Linked DNA regions of Yarrowia lipolytica. The protein of the gene in region 1 purifies or fractionates together with the protein of each later gene. This does not show direct contact. Links are inferred from orthologs where the notes say so. Each region holds a gene or a part of one and is shown in the gene's direction. Other genes may lie near its edges.

Region 1 (6,560 bases):
ATCGCAAGTGCTGCAGCTTTGCCAACGGCATCTTCGTCGATCTAACTCTGGACGAGATTGTGCGTATGAAGTGGAACGAGTCCGAGGCCGATTTGCTGCAAAACATCCGGTGCAGATTCGGTATCCAGTTGGCCAACGAGCACTACCATCCTACAGACCATGGCGCCACACCTCGTGCTCTCAAACGTTCCGATGGCTTGGCCTTCCAGGATTTCATAATGAATATGGTCTATCGCAAGCCGTCCAGTGTGCACAACATTCGAGCTGATCTGCGAGCGGTGATGGACCAGCTTTATGAGGCCATTGGAGACCCTGACAAGAACATTGCCTCCACCAGCCACAACATGACTGTTCTTGGCCGGTTCACGGTGGCCCCTGTCACCTGGAATTATATAGAGAACAGTCTTCGGGGTGAGTCGTTCTTACCATTTATGACGTCAACTGACCCGGTGCTTTCCGCCTCAACGGGAGGTTTTTACTGCGTTCAGGGAATGTTGGCTCTTGCCAAGTTTCGACAGGGTAAGAAGGCAGCTGCTCCAGGACGAACAGAAGACCTCCAGGCAGCAGTTAAATTCTTTACTAACGACATTCTCTGCTGCCCCACTCGTTATGAGTCATGGTTCGGTATTGCCAACGCATACGAAATGCTAACGGAGGACGATCTTATGTGGAGCGCAGAGAAGCTCGATGTGCCCAACTCCATTGTCAACATCAACCAGCGCAAGGCCCTGCTGTGTGGTCTCAATTCTGTCAATCTCATGCTTCAACAGCGGGACGAGAAGCCTGCGAACCCGCAGTTGCGCACCTTTTTCAACGCTGTCATGAAGGAGTCGCAGTGGTTGTTCCTCAGCAAGCTCTTCTACTCTGCCACGGCGAACCCTCTGCACGGTGCGTCTTTCAGACAGGCAGACAACAAAATCTTCTGTGGTATGAAGGGTCTTTACATGCGGCAGAATTTGTCCCTTCCTCGTCGCAAGCAATGTTACCAGGTTGTCCGAGCCTGTCTCACCATCAGTATCAACAGCAAGGACCAACCCCCGGACTGGTACTCTTATTATCTCCGATCTAAGGTGTACAGCAAGCTGAAAAAGACCACCCAAGCTATTCTCGGCGACATTCAAAAGTCCATTGCTGTGGCACCCGACAAGATTAACGGAGACATTCTTCTCGAGCCTCATTACAAACTTGTAGCCTACCTTTACAAGGCCGTAAAGCGAGGCAAGTTGACCGCTGCAGAAGCGTACAAGGAGTTGAAGAAAACCCCCCACTTTGTCGAGTACTTGGGAGAGGATGCTGACATGGAGTCTGGAGACGACTCTGACTCGGACTCTGAGGTTGGCTCTGATTCCGAAACTGAATCTACCAAGGAGGGTCCTATTGCATCTGCTACTGAGCCTGCCGCTGATACTGCTCCACCTGTTGTACCCTCTGAGGGAACTTCTGGATCTCCAATCTCCATCGATGACGCTACTCCTGTTCCTGGGCCCGTTACTGCGGTCACTGCTATTGCCGCTCCCCCAACTGTGGCTGCTAAGCCCGAGGAGAAGAAGAAGCCTCTGACTCGCATGGAAATCAAGTTTTACAAGTCGTGCATTGAGACATTGCGTCGAATGAAAGTGTTGGACAAGCGAAAGTGGCACCACCGGCCCCCGTTCCTGATTGCTCGCATCCACAAGGAGGTATTTGAGGATTACCGAAGTGCCAAGGAAGAGATGGTGCCGTTCTTTAACCTCAAGAACCAAAGCAAGGCCCCCGTACACATTTGGAAGCCCGACTTTGAGCGAGCAGGCAAGCATTTCCAGTACGTGTTTGACTACCTCATGTTTTTTATTGTTCTGCTAGACAAGACCGACGACACGGACGCCATCACTACCATTGGCAAGAAGCTGCGTCGATTCAACAACGGCATGGTGAATCATTTCGAGGTCTGGGAGTTCACGTGTCTCACGTCCAACGTTCTGATGAAGCGGGTTACCAGGATCCCTGAAAAGCTGCCGGACGCCATCATTCCCTCATTGCAGTTTGACAACTTTGATCGCATTGCGCAGGGTCTGCAGGATAAGATCACCAAGAGCAAGGAGCCGGCTTCGTATCTGCTGTCTTTGCTGTACTATGCATCTGAGTTCAGACGGCTGAACAACGGCTTTGGATCCACAGGTGTAGTGGATGACACAGTTGTTTGTCTGTATCTCAAGATGCTCATTGAATACGCTGGTACTTCACTACTGGCGGACAACAAGAGCCGCTCATCTACGCCAGTGGTTCTTGATGGAGCCAAGTTTGAGTTTCAGCCAGGCAGTGCCCAGCCTCCTGCTCTTCCTGCTCCTGCTACTACAGCGACCACTGCTGGAAAGAAGGAAGATGGCAAAAAAGAGAAGACGCGGGTTACTCGAAAGGATATTCTTCTGCGGGCCACCAATCTCATCAAGGCCTGCTCCAACAAGGTGGGTGAGAACATCAAGCTCGTGACGACCAAGGGTCCTCCAGCTGTGGCCTCCAGTAATGGTTCCTCAAGCAACAGTGGCACTCGGTCCAATTCGGAGGAGAAAGAAAAGGAGCCCACCGAGGAGCCTGAGAAATCTACCCAGGACTCGGATGTAGAGATGGCCGATGCTAACCAAGGCAACACAGAGACCACTGTTGAGCCCGAAGCAGAAGGGGAAGCTGACAAATCTGCGGAGGAGGACAAATCGGACAAGTCTGCTGAGGAGGAAAAGACAGACAAGTTTGCCGAGGAGGAAAAGTCCGCATCTGCCGAGCCGGCTGGTAAGAATACGCCTAAGAGCAAGTCGACTGGTTCCAATGGTGTCATAACCATTGATGAAGAATATTCGGCACCTGAATAAGGATTATGATTTATTAATAATTTACACGTAGAAATACAGTACTTGTACAAAACACAGCCTGCAACTTATAAGTTAGCCCTATCACACAACCATCTTGTGTGTGTGTGTGTGTGTCTCTCTCTCTCTCTCTCTAATCATCATCGATGGCAGCAGCCGATCTAGACACTCCCCACTTTTCTCGGTCTCGTCCGTCTTTGTACATGTTGATATCTTCCTTGGTTGGTTTCTCCATGGTTGCCTGTCTGAGGTTCTCATCTTTCAGGGCCTGTTCTTCCTTTTTGCGCTGGTCCGATTTCAGTTGCTCAACTGTGTATTCAGCAAACGCCTGAGGCTCAATTGCTCCACACAATAGTTCCACGGCTATTGTGGAGTTCTTACTCTTTAAACTCACCAGGCGGGTTCGGACGGCCGACTTGTATTCCGGCGAGATTCCGTAGAGGTCAAAGAGTCGCTGTTCGACCTCGTTTGCCACCTGAGTCGAGATTTCGTCGTCCTCCTCGTCTTCGTCGGCGGCTTCTGCCAGGGCCTTTTGCAGCGACTTTTTCGTTCCGTTTCGCACCTCCATGGGCGATATCGCCGACACCTTTTTTGTGCGCGCCTCGGCCTGTGATTTCAGGTACTTTTGCTTCCAGTTAGTCGGCAGCTTGGCCATGTCTATGTGGTTCTTGAGAGGAAGGCAGGTGTGTATGGAGGGAGCTTGGATAACTTGGAAGAAAGGTGCATGAGACAGGCATGAGGGATGCTGGGATCAGGTTATGAGGAGTGGTGAATGGAGAGATTTTTCTGTGTTCCAGAGCAACAGTATGACCAATCAACATCTTATGATATCACCACTGTGGCCGCCGTCTCATTTATCTCTTTCATTCCTGGGCTAGTCTCTGCCTACTGTCCAGCTCGTCATGGGTTACCCTGCATATGCAAGATAGCGAAATTTTGGCAGGTCTGGAATTTTTTTTGACTACAGTTTGACAGAGTGCAGGCTCGACTTGAAACAGTACACAAACATGGCGAAATTATCTCTGGCCGAGCAGATTTCTCAACTGGCTAACCCCAAGCCCAAGGATGTGGATATCGAGAACTTTGAGGACCGTGACGATGGTTCCGAGAGCGGTGGAGACGTGGATTACGACAGTGATCTAGCGACAGAGCACTATGTCAAGGTCGGCAAGAGCAAGCTGCGAGATGATGCTCCTGCTCTAAACCCCAAGTACAAGGCCGGCAAGGTGAGCAGGAAGGCTCTTTATGACGACGAGGACGAGGACGGCGATGGCGCTGACGGTTTCATTGATGAGGACGACGAGGACGATGAGGAGGACGATGAGGAGGGAGAAGGCAATGGTTTCATTGACGACGAAGTTGAGGTTGATGAAGAGGACCAGGACGAAGACGGAGATGAAGACATGGAGGATGAGCAGGATGAGGACGAGTCTGACGAAGAGCTGTCTGAGAACGAGAATGACAGCTCGGCTAGAGCCACCCTCAAGGAGCTGCTGAGGGAGGAAAAGAAGGCGTCCAAGCAGCAGGCCAAGGAGGCTATTGTTTCCGACGCACAAAAGGGATTCGCCATTCACAAACAGACCGATCTATACGAGACACTTCTGGACGCGCGAATCACATTCCAAAAGGCAGTCCAGTCTGCCAACGCTCTTCCTATCAGCGATACTAAGGCCGAGGAGCTCGGTGAAGACATCACCAACACTCTTCAAGACACAAAGGCAAAGTTGTCGGACTTCATCTCCCAAATAGCCAAGATGCGACACAACATGGCTGTGCAGGACAATGTGTTTGCTGCCGACTCCGTCAAGCTATCGACCAAGCGAACTTTTGATGCCACTCTGGATAACATGGACAAGCTGGATACAGAATTCAAGGCATACGAGACTTCTGTGCTGAGCAAGTGGTCTCAGAAGGTGCAGGCCTCATCTGCGGCCTCCGCTCTCAACTCCTCCAAGTTCAAGGCTCTGAACCAGTCTTCTGCCAACCAGGTCGCTGCTACTCTGGCGGACATGGACCGACTTGTCAAGCGAACTCGAATGAATCGATCCAACGTTGTCATTCTTGGCGAGGAACAGATGGGCGCCATTCAGGACGCCGAGGGCGAAAACTACTACATCTTTGATGACTCAGACTTTTACCGAAACTTACTCAAGGATCTGATTGACCGACGAATGGTGGATTCCGGCTCTCAAAGCAGTGGCGTCAAGACCTGGACTGCCACAAAGGCCAAGACCAAGAAGAACGTGGACACAAGAGCATCCAAGGGTAGAAAGCTGCGATACCATGTGCAGGACAAGGTGCAGAACTTTGCTGCTCCCCGGCCGGTTTTCACCTGGGAGGACGATCAGATCGACGAGCTGTTTGCCGGTCTTCTGGGGCAGCGAGTCAACTTCAACGAGGACGATGATGGAGAGGAGAAGGAGAAGGAAGAAAAGGAAGAAAAGGAGGAGCAGGAGTTGGTTATTCCCGACGACGGTCTCCGAATCTTTGGTTAGTATCAGTGGTTTTAGCATGGGGTTTTAAGTAGATGTACTTTAATAATAGAGGCAGGTGCCAAATGAAAATGAAGAGTATACAGGGCGTATTAAGTAGTGTAATAAGAATAAATAGTAGTAAAAGTACAGTATATACTGGCATTATTGTTTGGCCGGTTTCTTGATCCCTCTGAGTTTCAATTTCGGCCGTGGCTTAGACTGTAGCGTTCTGGAGAGCTCTCTAGTTTGTTGTGCAAGTGATCCTTTCTGCTTGGTAGAATCAAACAGTCCACCGTGGGATAGAGACTTCAACCTGAGTTCTTGCTCCGCCACTAAACCCCTTTCCAGGTGAGGAACCATCACTTGCGCTTCCTTAGCAAGAGGTAGATCCCGCAGAAGTCCCATTTTGTCCTTGAGAAGGTTGTCTCTTTGGTCTTGGGCTTCCAATGCGCGTTTTTGACCTCTGAACCTGTTCCTCATCTTATATGACAGGTCCTGGTGGTATCTGGCTTTGTCCAGATGTTCATCATACATTTTCTGTGTCTCTTTGGCCGCGTCATCAGCCGAAAGCACCGACGATTTGAAGGTCCATTCAGCGATTGTCTCTCTGCTGTCTTCGGACTTAATATGACGTTGTTTGAGCTCCTCCTCGGCCTTTGCAGCCCTTTGTTTGACGACTTCACGCTCGACCGCCTCAAAAGGGTTGCTTGGAGTTTCTTCCTCTCTCTTCACAACCGACTGTGTGAAGGTAGCTCCTTCTACGGTCACGTAGGTAGCGTTCTTCGGATCCGTCTCAATGACAATGGGATGTCCACACTCAGCATGTTTGATATCAAAGCGCCAGATGGGAGACGACAGATAGCTGCCGTGGCGTGTTTTGACCGCGTTGAACCGTACTCCTTGAGCTATGGTCTTGTCACATCCATGGCATTTGGCAGACAGAGGAAGCTCGAATCTGACAGTTGGTTTGCGCGGATTCGCTCCCGCAAGCTGGTTGGCGGACGACTTGCCGTCGTAATCTGGCGGGTAGTATTTATTGGTCGCTTGCGACATTCATGGGTGTTGTCTAAGTGTTGTGTATTGTTGGCTACAATTGATTTTATTTTCTCCATATGCAGGTTGATAGCGATGAGGTTATTGATAGGCATATTCTAAGTATTTTTGTTAGGAGTACAGTTGGTAGTTACTTGGACCAGGTGGAAGGCAGTAGAACTGCGTGGAACGAGAGCATGGCCACGTGGGG
Region 2 (5,789 bases), on another chromosome or scaffold:
AACGCCCGCGAAATCAGACACCTGCTGTTCAACCAGACCGCCATTGACGAGCAAAAGGCCACCTGTGACGCTCTGCTGGAAACCCTTAAACTGATTGAAGACCTCAAAAAGAAGGCAGCCGAGGAATCGGAAAAGAAACCCACCAAGAAGAAGACGGACGCCGAAAAGACCTTCAACGTCGAGGTCAAGCACGTGACCGACAAACGCAGCTTCAACAGAATCAACACCATGTTTGAATCGTCGAAAAACCAGATCCACGGCTACACTGCCAAATGTGCAAAGGTAAAGAACATCTACAAGATCAAGTTGGGTTCCCAACAGGCCCCTTTTGCCGCCACCTCCAAGAAAATCAAGTGCGTGCAGGAACTGTGGCACGGAACCCGTCTCCAGAACATTCTGTCTATTCTGGGAAAGGGCCTGCTTCTTCCTAAACTGTCTCCGGGTCAAAAGGTGGGTGCCATGTTTGGGGACGGTCTGTATTTCGCCAACCAGTCGTCCAAATCGCTCAATTACTGCGACGGCATGCTCTGGACCTCAGATGGAAGCGGAAAACCAGAGACCATCTACATGTTTCTGGCGTCGGTGGCTCTGGGAAACTACTTTACACCCGAGGGGCCTGTCAGTACCAACCCCCCCGAAGGTTACCACAGTTATTGGGCCAAGGCTGGTCAAAGCGGAGTCATGAACGACGAGATTATTGTGTTTGACGCGTCTCAAATCCGACTCGATTACTTGCTTGAGATTGAATTGAGAGCTAGCGACGAGTAACTACAGTGTATTGATGAAATTACAAGTACAAATGAGCTGAGAGAAAGCACCAGTATTGCAACCCTGTCATCCACTCACAAAAGACGTAGATAGTTTGGTTTCTCAGACGAGTTGCGGGACTCGGAGTGTGAATCAGCAAGGGAAACAGACCCAACTTGCTCCTGGGTCGTAGTAATCACCTTCTTGTCGGTCTCATGAACTCCGTTGTTGCTAGCAATAGAAGCAGTTGCTTTGGAGGGCTTTTCGCTTTCGTCCTGACGTTCCATCATAAAATGAGGCCCCGAAAACAGCAACGGAGCCCTACTTATAGTAAGCTGGTTTATGGCACTTGCTACTCCCGTTCTAAACTCAAGATTCAAAGCCCAACTATCCACTTCTCTCAACCCTAGGAGAACACCAAGATGCACTTTATGGTACCAAAATGATGCTGGGGATCTCCTGGTCGTGGCTGTGCTACTATCCTATATTTCATCCATACAAATTTTGCCACTTTGAGAGTCCGGCATTAGTGTGACTCCAATCGGCGCGGAATGCGAGCATCGGGGACCGGGGAAAAGGGGAAAAAGGAAGCTGTTCGAGTCTGGACCTGATTGGACCACAGACGGCTCTGCGACCTCCACCCTTCATTATCTGCTACATGCACTGCACTTGTCTGGCCAATTCTCGCCATAGCGAGGACATGATGCAGAAGTCCAAAGTCTAACTATAAAAAATTCGACTATCTGCACAATCTGAAATTTTCAAGTTTCATTTTTCAATTTTCATTTGCAAATCAGCTATCGTCACCATATCACCAGAGAGCGAAATGCCACCCAAGGGAAACAAGGAGAGAAAGACCGTGAGCGACGACCCGCGATTTGCGGGAGTGCATTCGGACCCGCGGTTCTACATGCCGCGAAAGAAGGACATGAAGGTGACAGTGGACTCGCGGTTCAAGAAGGAGCTGCTCCACAACAAGGACTTTCACAAGGGCGCCAAGGTCGACAAGTATGGTCGAAAGCTGGAGCAGCAGGACGCGCAGCTGCAGCGGCTGTATAACCTGAGCGACGATGAGGAGGAGTCCGGTGAAGAGGGAGACTCCGAGGAGCCCGAGACCAAGGCTCAGAAGAAGCCTCTGTCTGCTTTGGACCGAGCGCGGGGAGAAGGAGTCGATTCTGACGCCTCTTCGGGCGACGATTCAGACTCGGACGACGACTCGGACTCGGACTCGGAGGTGGAGATGGAGGAAGAGGTGGTGCTGGCGGACTCGCAGGACATTGCCACCGGCGACGAGAGCACCACTCTTGCGGCGGTCAATTTGGACTGGGATCACGTGCGGTCGGTCGACCTGATGGCCACCTTTTCTGGCTTCATCCCCCCTAAGGGCGAGATCAAGTCTGTGGCCATTTATCCCAGTGAATACGGCAAGGAGAAGATGGCCGAGGAGGAGCTCAATGGACCGGACGCGCAGCTGTTTGAGGAGAAGAAGAAGCGGGCTGGCGACTCGGACGACGACTCGGACGACGACGAAAAAATCAAACAGGAGTTGCTCAACAACGACGACGGCGAGGAAATCAACTCCAAGAGCTTCCGAAAGTACCAGTTGCAGCGAATGCGGTACTACTACGCGGTTATTGTGTGTTCGGATGTCGCCACGGCCCGAAACATCTATCAGAACTGCGACGGGACCGAGTACGAGTCGACCGCCAACTTTTTCGACTTGCGATACGTGCCTTCGGACATGACTTTTGACGACGAGCCTCGAGACAAGTGCACACGGGTTCCCACCAACTACAAGCCGTCTGATTTCGAGACTGCCGCTCTTCAGCACTCCAAGGTGAAGCTCACGTGGGATGAGACTCCGGCCGAACGAAAGAACGTGACTCTGCGGGCGTTCAACAAGAAGGAAATGGATAATGAGGAGCTCAAGGCCTACCTAGCATCCGACAGCGAGTCTGACGAGGAGGGGCGGGCCGATCTCAAGGCAAAGTACCAGAGCTTGTTGGAGGGCACCGGCATCAACAAGGGCGAGGACGAGGATGGAGAGGAGGATGTGGATATGGAAATCACCTTCACCCCCGGACTGGACGAGTCCAAGAAGAGTGCTGCTGAGCCCAAGGAGGAGGGTGAGGAAACCACGCTGGAGAAGTACAAGCGAAAGGAGAAGGAGAGACGAACGGCCCGAATCCAAAAGTGGCAGGAATCCAAGGAGGCCAAGGAGGATGAGGAGCATGAGAAGGAGGCCAAGAAGCCCAAGAACAAGGGCAAGAAGGAGCGGGAAAAGAAAAAGAAGGAGATGGAGCAGTTAGCGTTGCTGGTGGACGAGGAGACCGACGCCAAGCACTTTGATATGAAGGAGATCATCAAGGCCGAGAAAAACGCCAAGAAGAAGTCCAAGTACAGACAGCAGGGTCTTGTGGAGGACAAGTTCGAGATGCCGGTCGACGATCCTCGATTTTCGGCTCTTTACGACGACCACGAGTTTGCCATTGATCCGTCCAAGCCTGGATTCACTCGAACCAAGGCCATGGACAAGCTGCTAGATGAGCGCCGAAAGCGGCAGGACCGAGGTCAGGGAGGTGTCAAGCGAAAGGGCGAATCTGGAGAGCCTGCCAAGAAGAAGAAGCGAAAGGGAGACCAGACCGGCGAGGGTGTGGAGAGTCTGGTTGAGCGAATCAAGCGAAAGCACCAAAAGGATAACCAGTAGGGGGACTAAACCAAGCAGTTAGGTGATTGTTGCGGTTGGTATATAGATAATGGAGGTAAGATATTGGTGGTACGGTACATACAGTAGTAGTAGTAGTAGTACATATTACTACACTACAGTACAGTACTTTAGGCAATCTGACAGTGGGTAAACCGTTGTGGTAATTTTTCCCGCCGCCGAGTCACCATGACTCCGTGGATACATTTCGACTGATAGATGTAGAGTTTCGGCCCGACAGGAGTCACAGCCGTCGGGATGGGTTCAAGGTCTCAGTTTTTCATCATCAAAACAGTTGTTCCAGTCAAACTGCCGGCATAGAACTCTTCCATGTACCTCAGACGAAAAAAAAAAAAAAAGCTCCCTCTAGCGACTTCTGGTGACCGTTTGGATGCAGCCATTTCGGGCTAGGTTAGCGCTAACAAGGGGGAGGACAGGAGGACAATAGTAGGGGAGTATCGGTGTAATGAGACGTAGAATGTAGTTGAAATGACGGGCAAGTACTTGAAAGTGCATTCACTTTTCGAAATCACTGGTCCTCAACTTGTATCCAAACTGGTGGATCCAAACTGGTGGATCCAAACTGGTATTTAATCTGCGTCTTATCAGCGATGGACATAAGAAGGAGGTGTTGAATGGAAACTAGTGGTTTTCACCCGAGGTGGAGAAGAAAAGGACCAGATTTTTATAATCATCGAAAGAAATCTCGAGCTCATCTTTTGGCCCGATTTGGCCCGATTTGGCCCGATTTTGGCCCGAACCTGCTGTTATTTCAGCCCTTGAATGTCTCACATGGCATACAAGGTCTTTTTTGGGAAGCAAGATAAGACCCTGCGGCCATGATAGCGGATCAATGGAGTTAAAAAAGTCGATCTAGCCCTACTTGTTGGTATATATACCCTGGACGCGCTGCGGGGTCGCCATTGCACGAAAAAAGACTCCACGAAAATGTCGCACGAACCGCCGGGAACCACCATCTTGGAAAACCATGCTTCCGATGCTATCATTCTCCAGCCCACTCCGACAGCCGATCCCAACGAGCCGCTCAACTGGTCCAAGTGGAGAAAACACACAAACTTGTTCATTGTCTGTTTCTTTACGCTCATGGCGTTCACCGCCAACTGTGTATCGACGGTTTTCTGGACGCCTCAAAATCAGGAGTTGGGATGGACTCTGGACCAGCAGAACAACGGATACGCGCTGTCGGTGGCGGGTCTGGGTCTGGGATGTCCACTAATGATCCCGTTTGCGGAAAAGTTTGGAAAACGGCCCGTTTATTTGGTATCTTCGGCGATAGCTCTAGCATGTGCGGCTTGGATGGCCAAAATGACGACCGTGGGCGAGTTGTACGGCTCCAGCTTGCTCCAAGGTATGGCCACCAGTGTCACTGAGACCATAATTCAAATGACGGTGGCCGATCTCTACTTTGTGCACCAAAGAGGCACCTGTAACGGCATCTACATGGTGGTGGTGGACGTTGGCAACTTTCTCATCATGGTGCCGGCGGGATATATCACCATGAGTCTGGGGTGGAGATGGGTCTACGGAATCATTGCTGTCATAACCGGAGCCCAGTTTCTTTCCACGTTGCTCTTCTTTGAAGAAACAAAATACACAGCCGGAACAGAGACCCTGGTGGGGGTCGGAGAAGACGAAGAAGACAGGCCAGAGGAGAATCTGAGCAACAAGGACGCAAAAGACATAGTCCGCAACTTGGAGTCTCCTTCGACGGAGTCTGTCATCATGGATTTCTCCGATTCAGCCTCCTCCAGAAACGCCTACCAGTACCAGAAGAACCCTCTGTCCAAACGCCTGGCTCTGGTCACCTATACCCCAGGAAGCTGGAGAGAATTTGGTCGGAAAATGTACACCCCGTTTATAACGCTGTTTGCCTACCCAATCGTCACCTTTGTGGCCATCCAATACGGCTTCATGCTCACGTGGTTGGCCATGGCAGCTACTACGGTGGCATCTGCGTTTGCCGAACCTCCCTACAGCTTTTCCTCCGCCGCCCTGGGAAACATCAACATTGCTCCCTTCATTGGAATGGCACTAGGGTCTGTCTACGGAGGCTGGTTCAACGACAAGACAATCATTTGGCTGTCCAGACGCAACGGAGGGCAGTACGAACCCGAAATGCGACTGTATGGGCTGATTCCTGCAAACCTGACTCTCACAATCGGACTGTTTCTGTTTGGACTTCCCATTGCCCACGGGGTCCACTGGATGGTGCCCACTCTCGGATTCGCCATCATCATGTTCGGATTCGGCTCTTCCGGAGCCATTGTACTGACATATCTGCTGGACAGCTACAAAAACATTGTTGCTGATGCATTTA

The links.
Region 2: the proteins of YALI1_D14329g (region 1) and YALI1_C24460g purify together in Saccharomyces cerevisiae (affinity purification with mass spectrometry; 3 studies listed by BioGRID). This does not show direct contact. The link is inferred for Yarrowia lipolytica from reciprocal best matches to the Saccharomyces cerevisiae genes BFR2 and ESF1.

What each region holds. Positions count from the first base shown.
Region 1 is NC_090773.1:1,430,252-1,436,811, reverse strand, and holds YALI1_D14329g (uncharacterized protein), read left to right. Parts: upstream 1-3,850; coding exon 3,851-5,338; downstream 5,339-6,560. Other genes in the region: YALI1_D14391g (uncharacterized protein), read left to right, coding at 1-2,846; YALI1_D14333g (uncharacterized protein), read right to left, coding at 2,977-3,498; YALI1_D14304g (uncharacterized protein), read right to left, coding at 5,480-6,370. UniProt on the Saccharomyces cerevisiae protein: Involved in endoplasmic reticulum to Golgi transport. Involved in a protein-transport step blocked by brefeldin A, which disrupts the Golgi apparatus and its incoming protein flux. May also be involved for mass growth or cell proliferation.
Region 2 is NC_090772.1:2,444,468-2,450,256, forward strand, and holds YALI1_C24460g (uncharacterized protein), read left to right. Parts: upstream 1-1,573; coding exon 1,574-3,454; downstream 3,455-5,789. Other genes in the region: YALI1_C24434g (uncharacterized protein), read left to right, coding at 1-768; YALI1_C24488g (uncharacterized protein), read left to right, coding at 4,400-5,789. UniProt on the Saccharomyces cerevisiae protein: Involved in the 18S rRNA synthesis. Required for the early cleavages at sites A0, A1 and A2.